Linked DNA regions of Rattus norvegicus. The protein of the gene in region 1 interacts with the protein of each later gene in a pairwise test. Links are inferred from orthologs where the notes say so. Each region holds a gene or a part of one and is shown in the gene's direction. Other genes may lie near its edges.

The links. The genes of interacting proteins can lie anywhere in the genome.
Region 2: the proteins of Mad1l1 (region 1) and Lgalsl interact in binary tests that used the Homo sapiens proteins (3 or more experiments, as listed by UniProt). The two-hybrid records come from large-scale screens. The link is inferred for Rattus norvegicus from reciprocal best matches to the Homo sapiens genes MAD1L1 and LGALSL.

The regions. Positions count from the first base shown.
Region 1 is NC_086030.1:19,432,601-19,439,319, forward strand, and holds the start of Mad1l1 (mitotic spindle assembly checkpoint protein MAD1), read left to right. Parts: upstream 1-2,181; 5' UTR 2,182-2,225; intron 2,226-2,276; exon of another isoform or gene 2,277-2,295; coding exon of another isoform or gene 2,296-2,432; intron 2,433-6,719. UniProt on the Homo sapiens protein: Component of the spindle-assembly checkpoint that prevents the onset of anaphase until all chromosomes are properly aligned at the metaphase plate.
Region 2 is NC_086032.1:99,201,923-99,208,463, reverse strand, and holds the start of Lgalsl (galectin-related protein), read left to right. Parts: upstream 1-2,617; 5' UTR 2,618-2,799; coding exon 2,800-2,835; intron 2,836-2,922; coding exon of another isoform or gene 2,923-3,334; exon of another isoform or gene 3,335-3,459; coding exon 3,460-3,531; exon of another isoform or gene 3,532-3,678; coding exon 3,679-3,767; exon of another isoform or gene 3,768-4,221; intron 4,222-4,362; coding exon 4,363-4,540; intron 4,541-6,541. Other genes in the region: probable splicing factor, arginine/serine-rich 4, read right to left, coding at 2,923-3,334. UniProt on the Homo sapiens protein: Does not bind lactose, and may not bind carbohydrates.

The DNA.
Region 1 (6,719 bases):
TTGAAGAGAAAGGCAGGAGGAGGCTGTGTGTTCAGTCCCATCAGTGTCTCAGCACTGATCTTTGCTCACCCTCAGCTGACAAACAAGAAATCATTCTTCTGGAGAGTTCTTCCAGGTGTTAGCCTTTTCCTTGGGAGGATATCTAGTGTCTTGTGGCTCTTTCTCTTTTTCTAAAGATTTATTTATTACCTTTAGGTAATATCAGTGCTCTATCTGTATGTACACCCGGAGAAGGCATCAGATCCCATTACAGATGGCTGGGAGCCACCGTGTGGTTGCTGGGAATTGAACTCGGGACCTCTGGAAGAGCAGTCAGTGCTCTTAACCGCGGAGCCATCTCTCCAGCCCTCGGCCCTTTGCTTCAATAGTCTGATAACCAAAGGGCCAGTTGAGGAGCAGGGCTGTTTCAGGACACTCAGAAGGCTGATGGGTTGCTGTGAGGTCCAGGCCAACCTGGGGTACAGGGTAAGATTCTGTTTCTCAGCTTGACCCCAAAATACAACATTCATCTCAAAACGGATGCAAGAATCTTTTGTGTTTATTTATTTTTGAAAGATTTATTATTTTATATATAATGAGGAAACCGTTGCTGTCTTCAGACACACCAGACACATTACAGACAGATTACACATAGTTGTGAGCCACCATGTAGTTGTGGGAAATTGAACTCAGGACCTCTGGGAGAGCAGTCAATGCTCTTCACGGTTTAGCCATCTCTCCAGCCCAATGTTTTTACTTTTTGGTTTTTCCAGGTAGAGTTTCTCTGTGTAGCTCTGGGTGTCCTGGAACTTCCTTTGTAGTCCAGGCTGGCCTTGAACTCACAGAGAAACTCCTGCCTCTGCCTCCAGAGTGCTGGGATTAGACACATGTGCCACTACCACCGAGATGGACAGGTCGTTTATTCTTGAGCCAAATGTCCCAGAAACACAGACTTAAAATTAAGTTACCCCAAATTCCATGTTCCAGTCTGGAAGCAGTGAGGAAATTTTTATAGTAACAGAATAAAGAAAGTCATGAATCAAGGCACTTTAAAAATACATTGGTGGGGGACAGGCGGCGCATTACTTTATTCTCAGCAGTTGGGGGTGGGGTGCAAAGGCAGGTGGAGGCAGCCTTGAGGCACACAGAGAAACCCTGCCTTTAAAAACCCAAACCAGACAAATCAAAACAAAACGAAACAAACAACAACAAAAACCAAAGCAAACAAAATCTTTCTTGGTGGTGGGGCGGAGAAATGGCTCGGGTTAAGATCATTGGTTGCTCTTCGAGAGACCCCAGATTCAATGCTCAGCGCATACATCTTGGCGCATAGACATCTAACTCCCATTTCAGAGGATCTGTTGTCCTCATCTGGTCTCTATGGGCATCATGTATGCACACAAAACACCCATAAAATAATAAAACATGAAAACAAATAGACTAGTGGAAGATTTAAGTAGGCAGTTATAGCAAAGCAGAGAAATAGCAGCTATATGCTTCTCATGCAGTTCGTGGGCTTTTGGTTGGTAGAAACTGGGTTTTAATGTATTCCAAGAGGTTTTTATCCATAAGTCACAACACGTTAGAGCTGACACAGAGGCGGGTAAGCAATGGGTATGACGGGGGTTAAAGATAGAGCCCAAGACAAATTACAACAGGCTCTGGACCGGCAACGTTACCGAAGGCAACCAGCCAATCCGCCTTTACAGTCACAATTTCTTCCCAGGAATTCTCATTTACAAAGGAAAGAAAATGAAACAAGCTAACCAATCAAAACACCGCCCCAAACAAAACAACCTGTGTATACATACACAGTGGCAAGATTCAGAGAAAAATCAACTTTCCAAAGCTATGTTTACTTTCCATGCCCAGCAGTTGTGGTGCAAGCCTTTTAATTCCATCCAGCACTAGGAAGATCTTTGTGAGTTAGAGGCTACACAGAGAAACACTGACACAAAAGCAAAACAAACGTTCCCTCCCAAGCAGTGCTACTCCACACATTACGGCGCACTGGGTGGCGTTCGAAGAGCGCCCTGAGGGACAGGCACCCTGGCTCAGTGTGGTTTCCAGCCCCTTGGCAGGACAGCAGTTGTTCTCAGGACACGCCTGTGGCGCGCATATTTGATTCTTTACGGGCCGTTTTCTCAGATCTCGCGAGACCCTCGCGGAAGTCTCGCGATACATAGGCACCGGCGGAGAGGAGGGAGATCTGAGCCGCTGCTGCAGCACTCGGCTCCTCAACTCGGGTAAGTGGCCGAGTGGTCGGGTCTGCGAGTTCCCCAGGCGCTGCGCGCGCTGCCCGACCGTACCGACGCCATGGGAAGGAGCTGTCCGCTGCCTTCCGGCATGCACACAGTCCGAGTCGATCCTGTCGCGCGACTTCCCTTTGCGGGGTCTTCCGTGTCGTGCTCCCGGGGCCGCTGTGGACCCCCGTGTCCCGTTGCAGGGCGCGGGTAGGCGTGCCTGGACCGGAACCGGGGCGGAGGGGACCGAGTGGTCTGCTGTGGGCTGAAGGGCTCCCGGGGTTGGAGTCAGTTACCTTGTAGATCCCAGGGATCGAACTCAGATTGACAGTCTTGGTGGCAAGCCCTCGTAAGCGCTGAGTCGTATGTCAAGCCCTCTCTGTCTCTGTCTCTCTGTCTCTCTGTCTCTCGTCTCTCTCTGTGTCTCTTTCTGTCTCTCTGTGTGTATGTGTGTGCCTGTTTTTGGCAGTACTGTTGATTGAACCTCGGACCTTATGCACTCCATCACTAAACTATGTCCCCATCCCTTTTAAAAGTTAATTGATTGGCTGTGTGTGTGTGTCTGTCTGCCTGCCTGCCTGTCTGTCAGTCTGTCTGTCTGCCTGATTTTGGCAGTACTGTTGATTGACCTAGGACCTTATGCACTCTACCACTGAACTATGTCCACAGCTCTTTTAAAAATAAATGGACGGGCTAATTAATTAATTAGCAAATTAATTAATTAATTAATTGTGTGTGTGTTTGCCGGTGTATACCAGGCTACCGGTGGAGGGAGGTTAACTTAGTTCTCTTCTTCCTCTGTATGGATCCTAGAGATGGAACCTTGCTTGTCTGTCTAGCCCTAAAGTGCATTGCAGATTGAGCTGTTTTTTGGGCCCCCTTCTTCCCCCGCAGTTCATAGGATTGAGCCTAGGGCTTCATGCATGCTAAGCAGTTACCGACTCTGCTGCCTCCTCAGCCCGATTCTTACTTTTTCCTCTTAATTTTTATTCTGTGACGGGACTTCCCAAGTGTTCCAGGCTGGCCTTGAACTTGCAACCAGCCTTTGAATTTGTCTCAGCCTTCTGAGTACCTGGGATGACAAGCCTGTGTCACCAATTGCCAGGTTTTTAGGCTGTGCCTTGGCTGAGACCAGAAAGAAGGTGTGTGCATACCTGTTAAGTCAGAAGCCATCCAGGGCAGCTGGTGTTCTGGAAGGTCTGTTGCCTGGAAGTTCAGGGTTCCTGTAGAGAGGGTACAGTTTGAGGTGACGATTTAGTTACCTGTGTGGCTTCTGAAATGGTTCTTGTGTCTGTGGCTGAGTTCTTGTCCTGGAGAGGGAGGACAGAAAGTGTGACTTTTCCTTCGATCTTTGAGAACAGAGGTCTACTTCTTCCCACTGCGTCTGTTCTCCATCTGGTGACCAGCTCTTGCTTTGTTGTGTGTGTATTTGGGGTGTACACTAAGGTTCTTGTTAAGTGAAAAATTCAGAAGAAATTTCTGCAAAGTAACCCTCCCCCGGCCCTTTTGAGATTGGGTCTAGCTGTATTCTTAGGTCTCTGTGTAACCCAGGCTGGCCTGCAACATGTGATCTTGCCTCAGCCCTCATATACATTCCTTTTTTCTTCAGGACCTTTCTCCAATTGAGAAATGCTTGGGCTTCTTTGCCACTGACCCTCTCCCCCACTGCAAGGAATGCCAACACCTTACCTGGTCCTTCAGTCTCACCTGGCATGACATATATGGCAGTCTCTCCATTCTGTCCTGAGAAGATTGTGAAGGAGTTTAGACAGCTACAGAGGCACATGCAGATTCCTTCCACACTAAGGACAGGGACCACAATCCATTGGTTCACTCACTATCCCATGGGCTGACTCTAATTGGAAGTACTAGGACAGCTCAGGTGACCCCCTAAAGAAAGGTTATGTGATTACTTGGCTTGATAGAAGACTGAAGAGGGTCTTCTGCCCCCATCACCATCGTGACTTCCAGGGCAATATTGTCCGTTGCTGGCAAGTCTGTTTTGTTCTCATTGCATTAAGGGTCTACTTATTCAGACTTATCAGAATATTCTAGACCTGCCCTAGTGTCTGTTCTAGGGGGACCAGGCAGTCGTTTGGAGGAGCACCGAGAGTGAGTTAAAGGCTAAAATGTTGCCTAGTCCTGGATCTTTCTGCTTTTGTTGTGAGGGTACTCTATAGACCCCATTCTTAAAAAGGTGCTCGTGTCTGAATTCCAGGGTGTCAGGTGTCACAGTGTGGGATCAGCTCTTTCCTCCTCCTTGTGGGTCATGGGGCTCAAACACAGGTCCATAGGCTTCATGGGAAGCATCTTTAACCACTAAGCTGTTTCCCCAGCCCTACACCAGGTAACTCACAGACATTAAAGTTACAGACATCCCACAGTGATTCCATTATCCCAAATGGAGAAGAGCATCCAGCCAGGGCCACAAAGTTGCAGCCATGTCCTCTGGCCTTACAGGGCTTAGTTCTCTCTGCCTGACTAGATGCCATCTGTCACTGCTTGCCACTCGAGAATCTTGGTATAAGAGGTTGTCTGCATTCTCTCCAGTTTTTCATTTTTCTAGCTCCTGGCTTCAGTCTGACAGTGGGATACTGCTGGTTGTCCTTACCCAGGTCTCTTGTAAGAGCCCTGTTCTCCCTTTGCTTGGACTCCATGCCCATGGGAGTGCAACACTCCTGCCAGTACAGCCCCTGTGTGATCCGAATCAGTACCTAAATCTCCTCCTTCCCTGGTCCATCCCAGTCACCGATCTGAAAAGAGCTCTTCTCTGTCCCCTGGCTATTCTTTCAGAAAGCCCGGGGTGAGCTGTTGTTGCCTCTTCTGGCTATTAGGCACCTTTCATGCAGGCCCAGCCTTGTCCTCTCCCCTGCTGGGGTGGGAGTGAACATTTCTTTTCTTTCTTTTTTTTTTTTTTTGTAGTTCTTTTTTTTAGGAGCTGGGGACTGAACCCAGGGCCTTGCGCTTCCTAGGTAAGCACTCTACCACTGAGCTAAATCCCCAGCCCCGGGAGTGGACATTTCTATCCAGACTCTTCTCACTTCTTGGGCTTCTTTTCTTGGGAATATCTTCTCTGATGCAGGATATTTGATCACACTGTGTTATTTACTGGAAAAAACCTGTTTCTAGTTGTGGTATGGCTCAGCTCTAGCACACATCTTTAATCCAAGAGCTTTCTGATTATCGTAGACAGGTTTAAATAAAGTCATCCATGGGTCAAGAGGTGGACCAAGCAATCAGTTGACAGGGAGTAAACACAGGGAAAGAAATCACAGAGAGTAGGGGAACTCAGGAGGATGAATAGAAAGACACATAGGAAGTGGAAGGCAGGGAGATTTCGGTTCGAGGTCTTTGAGGTGGTGTGGAGAAGAACTGCCTTTTCTTCTGGAACATCAGCTGAGAAGGAGGTCAGCTGGGTACTTTCTCTGCCTCCCTGAGCCAGCAGACCTTTACCCCAGCATCTAGCTCCCAAGTCTTTACTGGTAAAATGGAATGTTTAAGATTTTGTTAAAAACAGGGTTGGGGATTTGGCTCAGTGGTAGAGCGCTTGCCTAGCAACCGCAAGGCCCTGGGTTCAGTCCCCAGCTCCGAAAAAAAGAAAAAAAAAAAAAGATTTTGTTAAAAACAACACTTCACCCTCCAGCTCTCTCCTGCACAGTCAGCAGAGCATTGCTCTGAAAGTTCACCTTTCAGATGTTTAGAATCCCCTCACTGCTCACCATGTCCCTTTAACCTCCTGCCATGGGTAACTCAGCTGCTTTCACAGTGGCCGACTCTGGGGATGCTTAACTGGCTCTCAGTCTGCTGGCCTCAAACTTGCTCTCTTTATTTTTAATTAATTTATTTTTGAGGTGGGGGTTTCTCTTGTAACCTTGACTATCCTAGAATTCACTATGTAGACCAATGCTTAGAAAAAAGGCACACCCACCACACCACACCCAAGCCATGGAGATAGAGGGGTGTTGGGGCCAAAGGACTCGCTGCGCCCCTGTCCAGCAACCCACAGCTGCTCCCTTTGGTGTCACACTCTGTGCCAGAAGCAGGTGTTAAGTCTTCAGTACCCACTGCTGGGCCCCATGCGTAGTGCCACATGTGGAAGTGGACCTCGGCTCTGTCCTCCTCATCCACCCCACCCTCCCACAGGTGCTTTCCTAATATGCACTCACTGATAAGTGGATATTAGCCTGAAAGCTTGGAACACCCCAGATGCAATCCACAGACCACATGAAGCTCAGGAAGTAGGATGACCAAAGTGTGGATGCTTCAGCTCTTCTCAGAAGGGGGAACAAGATACTCACAGGAGGAGATACGGAGACAAAGCTAGGATCAGAGACTGAAGAAAGGCCATCCAGAGACTGCCCCACCTGGGGATCCAGCCCACATACAGCCACCAAACCCAGTCACTATTGGGGATGCCAAGAGGTGCATGCTGACAGGAGCCTGATATGGCTGTCTCCTGAGAGACTCTGCCAGATCATGACAAATACAGAGTCGGAT
Region 2 (6,541 bases), on another chromosome or scaffold:
ACGTTTAGTTCCTGAGAACTCCTAAAAAAAGAAGCTCCTGGCAGAAATGTGATACGTCATAGGCCTTGTTAATCTTTTTCCGGACATAAGTGCCTGGAACCAAAACACAGTCAAATGTTTGCCTGTCTTTCACTCTAGAACTCTGAGGAAAATTTGGAAACTTTAGTTCAACCCCGTTTAGCTTTTAGTTACAAAAACAAATCTTTTAGGCTTTCTCTCTGATCACTATCTATAAAATTGGCTGTTTGGACTGGCTGTAAGGGAAGCAAGTTTATTTTCAATAACAGGCAATTTACCATGCTACTAAGTCCCAGGCAGGTCCAGCCCTTGCTAATTCTTTATACTCCTAGGATGTAAGAAACCCATCTTCGGCAACCCAAATACTTTAAACTCCACTCACATACAAATCTAAGGGTTATTCTTCACCCCGGAAAGCCATTTATCACAAGGTTCAACCTGAGTTCTTTCATTCACTGAGCAGCACCTCACTGCTCCCCACCAATGCGACTGGTGCCACTCACACAGCTTTTCAGAACTAGAAACTTCTAAAATATAAGAGAAGCTTGGTGACAAAGTGACAAAGCTTTGTGATGGGGACTGCTAGGTCTCCCCAAGGGTGCCTGATTCTACACTGCCATTCCTCTCACCTGGTCCAGACAGGAGCCTCCCTCCTGCCCTGGCTACAGGCTGCCTGTTCTTGGGCTCTTATCACATCAGCTACAGCAATGTATCAACATCAGAGAGTACAGTGACAGGATGCTTGCCCTGCATATACAAGGCCCCGGGTTTGCTCCCCAGAACCTCCAAAACCAAACCTCATCTGCCTTGCTCAGAAACTTCCGGGGTCTTCCCGTTCCCTTCAAGTAACCAAGGCCTCAGCCTGTACTTCTGCTCCACATGCCCAGTAGGTCCCATCTTGTAGACTTTATCTTGACAGTTCCTGAGCTAGCAACCTCTTGTGGAGGTTGGACCTTCCCCCCTTTTCTCCCTCCATTGAGAATTCAGAATTCTCAATGTCACCTTCCCAGGCTACCCTGCTTTAATAGCATCATCCTGCATTTTCTCCCTCCCTGCCTTATTTTTCTCAGAGTCTTTACTACGTATACAGGTTTACTTATGTCTGCCTCTCCTCCCTACAGTGTAATCTCAGCAATGCCCCTGCTGATTCTGGGCTCCCGGTCAACAGCATGGACTCAGGACTGTTGCCTAGAACGTGCTGAGTGTTCTTCTTGGGAAGGTGTGTGAACCAATCTACCAATCTGCACAGTAATTCGAGATAGGATCATCATCGTAATTAACATCGTGTCTGGTGAAGAAATTGCCACGCTACTATCAGTAATAAGAAACTGAATTTGGACCCAAGACACCAGCCCTTTATAATCACCATAATGTATTGTACCACGCTTAGCTTATAGCAAATAATTCAATGACTTCCCTATGCTGACTCTTAGAAATTCTCAGATAATCAAAGTATGGCTTTAAAATATCAAGTTTCTTATAATTGCCTAATATTTAAGAATAATTAATAGGTGTGATTTCTGAGCTCAGACTCGTAAACAAGAGCAAAATGGGAACCACAATTATGCCTCTTCAGCCTCTAATTCTGAGAACCACTTCCTCAAAGGCTCCGACTGTGGATGACAGGCATGCTCAGGTAATTCTCCCTGCACCACAGAGATTACCGTGATTAGCACCGGTCCACAAAGGGACACAAAAGCCGCAGAGATGCCAGGTCCCACAAAGGGCCCCTCTGGGACTGTAGCAGCTCATTTGAGCTCCCTGCTTATTAGTGTGGTGATTCAGTGCACTGGGTAAGCCGAGGATGTCACCTAATAGAGGGTATGTTGATACAGCCTTATCTGAGAAGTTATATAATTACGCGAGTGTCAGGATACCATAAAGGAGTCTGAGCTTTAGAGTGAAAGAGGAGGGTATTCCCTGGGAAGTCTTACACAAAGAATGGCGGGAGATTCCATTACCCCAAACTAAGCAAGTGAAGTAAAATAGCTAAGGATAGAGGCCGTCCAGTTTAAGTTGCGGCTTGGCCAGGCACCTGCTGAAGATTGCTTCCGGGGACCCCGGATACCAGCCTGTGCTTCCCTGGGAACAGAGGATTGGTCGGTGCTCAGCAAACTGCCCCCCTTGAGTCACGGCTGCTTCTTTATTTAGGGTCAAATGTATTCTTCTGCAAGCCTTGGACCCTCCGTTCTCCTTCTCCTCCAGACAGTGAAACTAACTTTCCTCCCACTGGGTTGGAATTCTCTGAAAGAAGCCATACCGGGTCTTCCTCTTCTCCTTCCTCCACCTTCTCAGGACCTCGCTCCTGATCCACCCCAACAATCCCAGGATGCGGAAGGAGTGAGTGAGTAGGCCATCGGACGGGAGTGTCCCCAGCACCTGTCACCTGGCCCACCTGGCCCTCCCTTCACCCCCTCCCCCAGCCCCACCCACCTTCCCCGCCGACAGGCCACCGCCCTCCCCGGCCTCCAGCCATGGTCCAATGGCCGTAGGGCAGGGCACGCTGAGCAAGCCGCGGTGCCCGGGCCTCGTCCCCGCCCTGTTCCCGGTCCTCGGTTCCCGAGTCGAGCCCTGCCGCCTTTAAATGCCACCCCAGGCCGACGCACTGCGGCCCTCGCCACCGTCATCCCCTCGCCGCCGCGACCTCCGCGCCGCACACCTCCCCTCCCCCTCCCGGGCCTGCGACCGCGCCAGCCTGGGGCGTGCGCGCGCGCCGGTGTGTGCGCGCGCCCGGCTCGGACCCGCGCCCGCCGCCGCGTCCCCGGCGCTCGCTGCAGGAACATGGCGGGGTCGGTGGCCGACAGCGACGCCGTGGTGGTGAGTGCGGCGGCCGCCCGCGAGGCGGGTAGCTCGGAGGGCGGGGGAGAGGTCTACCGACCCGCGGTGCCGCGGGAAGCGCGGTACCTGTCAGCCGCCGCGGGGTGGGAGTTCGGGGCCCCAGGCGCCGGGCAGGAGGGCGCCGGCCAGGTGCGCGCCGGGCGCGTGTGCGTGCACGTGGGTTACCGTGGGGCCGCGGCCCCGGCGTCCGGGATTTCCCCCTTTGGAAACGGTCCCGCGCCGGGGGCTCCCGGGAGAAACGGAGCGCTGTCGCTGCACCGCAGCCACGTCCCCGAGGACAGGCCCGGGGGCAGAGACTCCGGGAGCGTTTGTGCTTGGAGAGGGGGCCTGCCGCCCACCTACACGGGCTTTGCTTCCCCGGTGGGCCGCGACCTTGAATTTGATCCGATCTCAAGAGCCTGGGGATCATCAGAGGCTTAGACCGGGTGGAAAGGCCGGGTTTTGTTTCGCGGTTATTTAATGAGCTATAAAGAGGCATCACTGCCTATGTGTCTGTGGAGGGCTGCTGGATCCCGACCGATTTGTGTGGATTCCACATCCTTCTATTCACTCCCTAATAAACAAGGGTCTGTGGAAAGCCAATCTGTGTGCTTCTATTTTTAGAAACTTGATGATGGGCACTTGAACAACTCCCTGGGTTCTCCGGTTCAAGCCGACGTGTACTTCCCACGACTGGTAAATCAGTGTGCTCCGTGTCTCTGCCTTTATCCTTCTCCCTCCTGGTGCATTTCCTTGCCTTCTGGTGGGTCAGGTTCTCAGGGCCGAGGGCTTGGCTTCTCTCACAGCCTGTAAACTTCCTGTCTCTCCCCTCCTCCTTTGCAGATAGTTCCATTTTGTGGGCACATTAAAGGTGGCATGAGACCAGGCAAGAAGGTATTAGTGATGGGCATCGTAGATCTCAACCCCGAAAGGTAAGGGCCGAGCCCTTCTGTTGCTGAACTGCGGCTGCCTCCTCCCGTTCCTCTACTTGCAGACAGTGTCACTAGTTAGGAGTGCCAAGAAAGTACCATGTTCCCATGAAAAGAATGTGTATGAATCCCAGCCATCATCTCTCCAGATAGCTATTTATATCAGGGATGATAAAAATAGGCCGACAGTTAATCTTTGACCCTTGAGAAGGCCAAAAGACTTTTCTTTTTTATGGCTTTGAAACACTATAGTTGTAACCAAACCTGTTAGAATAAATAAGAACCAAACTTACAAAATGTTCCCCTTGTCAGTTCCCTTGGCTGTTTTGGAGAACTCTGAAATGGATTAAGGCCCCGGGTGGCCTGGGGCGTTTGAAATCTTCAGTTGCAATTATTTTCAGTAACACTGAAGTTTTCACCAGAGCCTGCTTTAGGAAGCAAAATCTATTGGTTTGAGTGTAATCCTTCTACTCTGTGTTTAAACTCTGTGTAAACAGTAGCAGCCCATTAAAAGCCGATGAACCCACTGGAGGAGGAACTGGGTCAAGTTAAAATGTTACATCTAATTCCCAGCTAAGTGACACTGTTTCCTTTCTAGTTTTGCCATCAGCTTGACCTGTGGTGACTCTGAAGATCCTCCTGCCGATGTGGCGATTGAACTCAAAGCTGTGTTCACGGACCGGCAGCTCCTCAGAAACTCTTGTATATCAGGAGAAAGAGGCGAAGAGCAGTCAGCAATCCCTTACTTTCCGTTCATCCCGGACCAGCCGTTCAGGGTAGGTACCTGGAGTGCCCCATGCAGTGTTGGCAGGGCCCCTGCTCACGATATATCTACTGTGTGCCAAGAGCTCTTTAAGAATTTCTTCATGTCCAAGAAACTTGTTGCCTGGGACTTGTTTCCCGGCCGTGAGAACAGAATAGAGAGAGAGAGAGAGAGAGAGAGAGAGAGAGAGAGAGAGAGAGAGAGAGAGAGATCTGCTTGCTGATCGACATTAATGCTTGCCATAGTAGCTCTTGACTCTCTTCAGCCCCTATGTTTAGTTAATGGGTGCATATATGCATACCTAATTGATAAGTACTTAGCTGTACACAACCAATGCAGAGGCATTAATTATTGATTTGCTAACTTTTGGGGTGGTACTGGGGTTTGAACCCAAGGCCTTGTGCACATTAGGTAAAGTTCTGCAGCTTAGCTACACTCCCAGTCCTCTTTTTTTATTTCTGTTTTGAAACAGGATCTTACTAAATTCCCAGACTGGCCTTGAACTTGTAATCCTCCTGGCTCAGTTTGCATAGTAGCTTAGAATACAGGTCTGTGTCATCGGGTCAAGCTGGGAGTATTAATCTAGTAATAATTTTCTGTGTAATTCCCAATATAGTTTTAGGCACATAAATAACCTACCCCTAAGTATCTGATTGATTATTAACTAGTACTAAGATCCAGAATTTTCATGTTTCTTAGCCTTAAGTAGCTCAAAACCTTACTAGGTATGGGATTAAAACAATTTAGTGGTTATCATTTCATTTTTTTCTCATTCCCTTTGCTAATGAGCCCATATTTGTGTATTTATTTTCCTGTGAGGGTTAATTAAGCTTGTCTGTTTCATGGTCACAAGCTGTGTGGCTGACAGATTTCCTCCCTTGGGCTTGGGTAAGATCACTTTGCTCCCAGTCCCTACGAGGCAGGAAATAACCCAAACTTGCAGTCTCATCAAGTAACAGTAGCATTACCTTCCTCTGTGGGACAAATAGGAATGATATAAAAACAGGACTCGCTTACATGCCAGGCCTGGTGCTGCGGCTGGGGCCTGCGGGAATCTTACCATACATCACAGTAACAGCCCCTCGGTTAAAACTTTGCTACAAATGGACCAGAGTAAACAAAACTGCTCTAAATCTTTGTACTTCATGTGGACCTTCTCAAGGCCTGCAACTGTTTCTCTTTCCTTAGAGTCTAGAACAAAACAGAACTCCACAAACTTTTTTACATCAGTACAAGAAATGAGGTTGTTCCCCTTAGGACCATAATCTAGGAAGTTACCCCTTATCTTAGCTCCTCCTTTAGAATGGAGGCTTGTGGGCTCCTCTTGCTATGCCAGGTTCTTAAATGGTTAGTCAGTCTGTCTGCCTGCCTTCCCCCACCCCCTCTCTCTTTCTCTCTCTCTCTCTCTCCAGCATTTGCAGGCCTCAACAGAGTTATCTCAGATGGTAAATTCTTATGCCTAATTCATGAATTGTGAGCTTCTGACTAGAAGGAATTCATTGCTTCCCAACAACAAAAATGGGAATGAAATAAACCAGGTGGTGGCGCAGGCCTTTAATCCCAGCATTCAGGAGGCAGAGGCAGGTGGATCTCTGTGAGTTCCGGTCTACAGAGTAAGTTTGAGGACTGCCAGGGCTACACAGAGCAAACCCTGCCTCAAGAAAAAAAAAAAAAAGCATGCAAAAATGGAGTGGAATAGAACTTCTCGGTGATCTAATTTAAGCAGTAATATAAATTAAATGTGACTAATATAACATATGGAATCTCTGCGTGAAAACGGCTAATGCTTTTCTAAAAGCATCATAGCACAGCCGATTCTTAAAGTCTGTGATGACCAGGAGGCGGTGGCTCCTGCCTTTGGTCCCAGTACTTGGGAGGCAGAGGCAGGCAGATCTCTGTGAATTTGAGGCCAGCCTGGTCTACAGACTGAGTTCCAGGATAGCCAGAGTTACATGAAGAAGCCCTGTCTCATACAAAGAAACAAACAAAACAGAAACCCAAACAAAGAAACAAA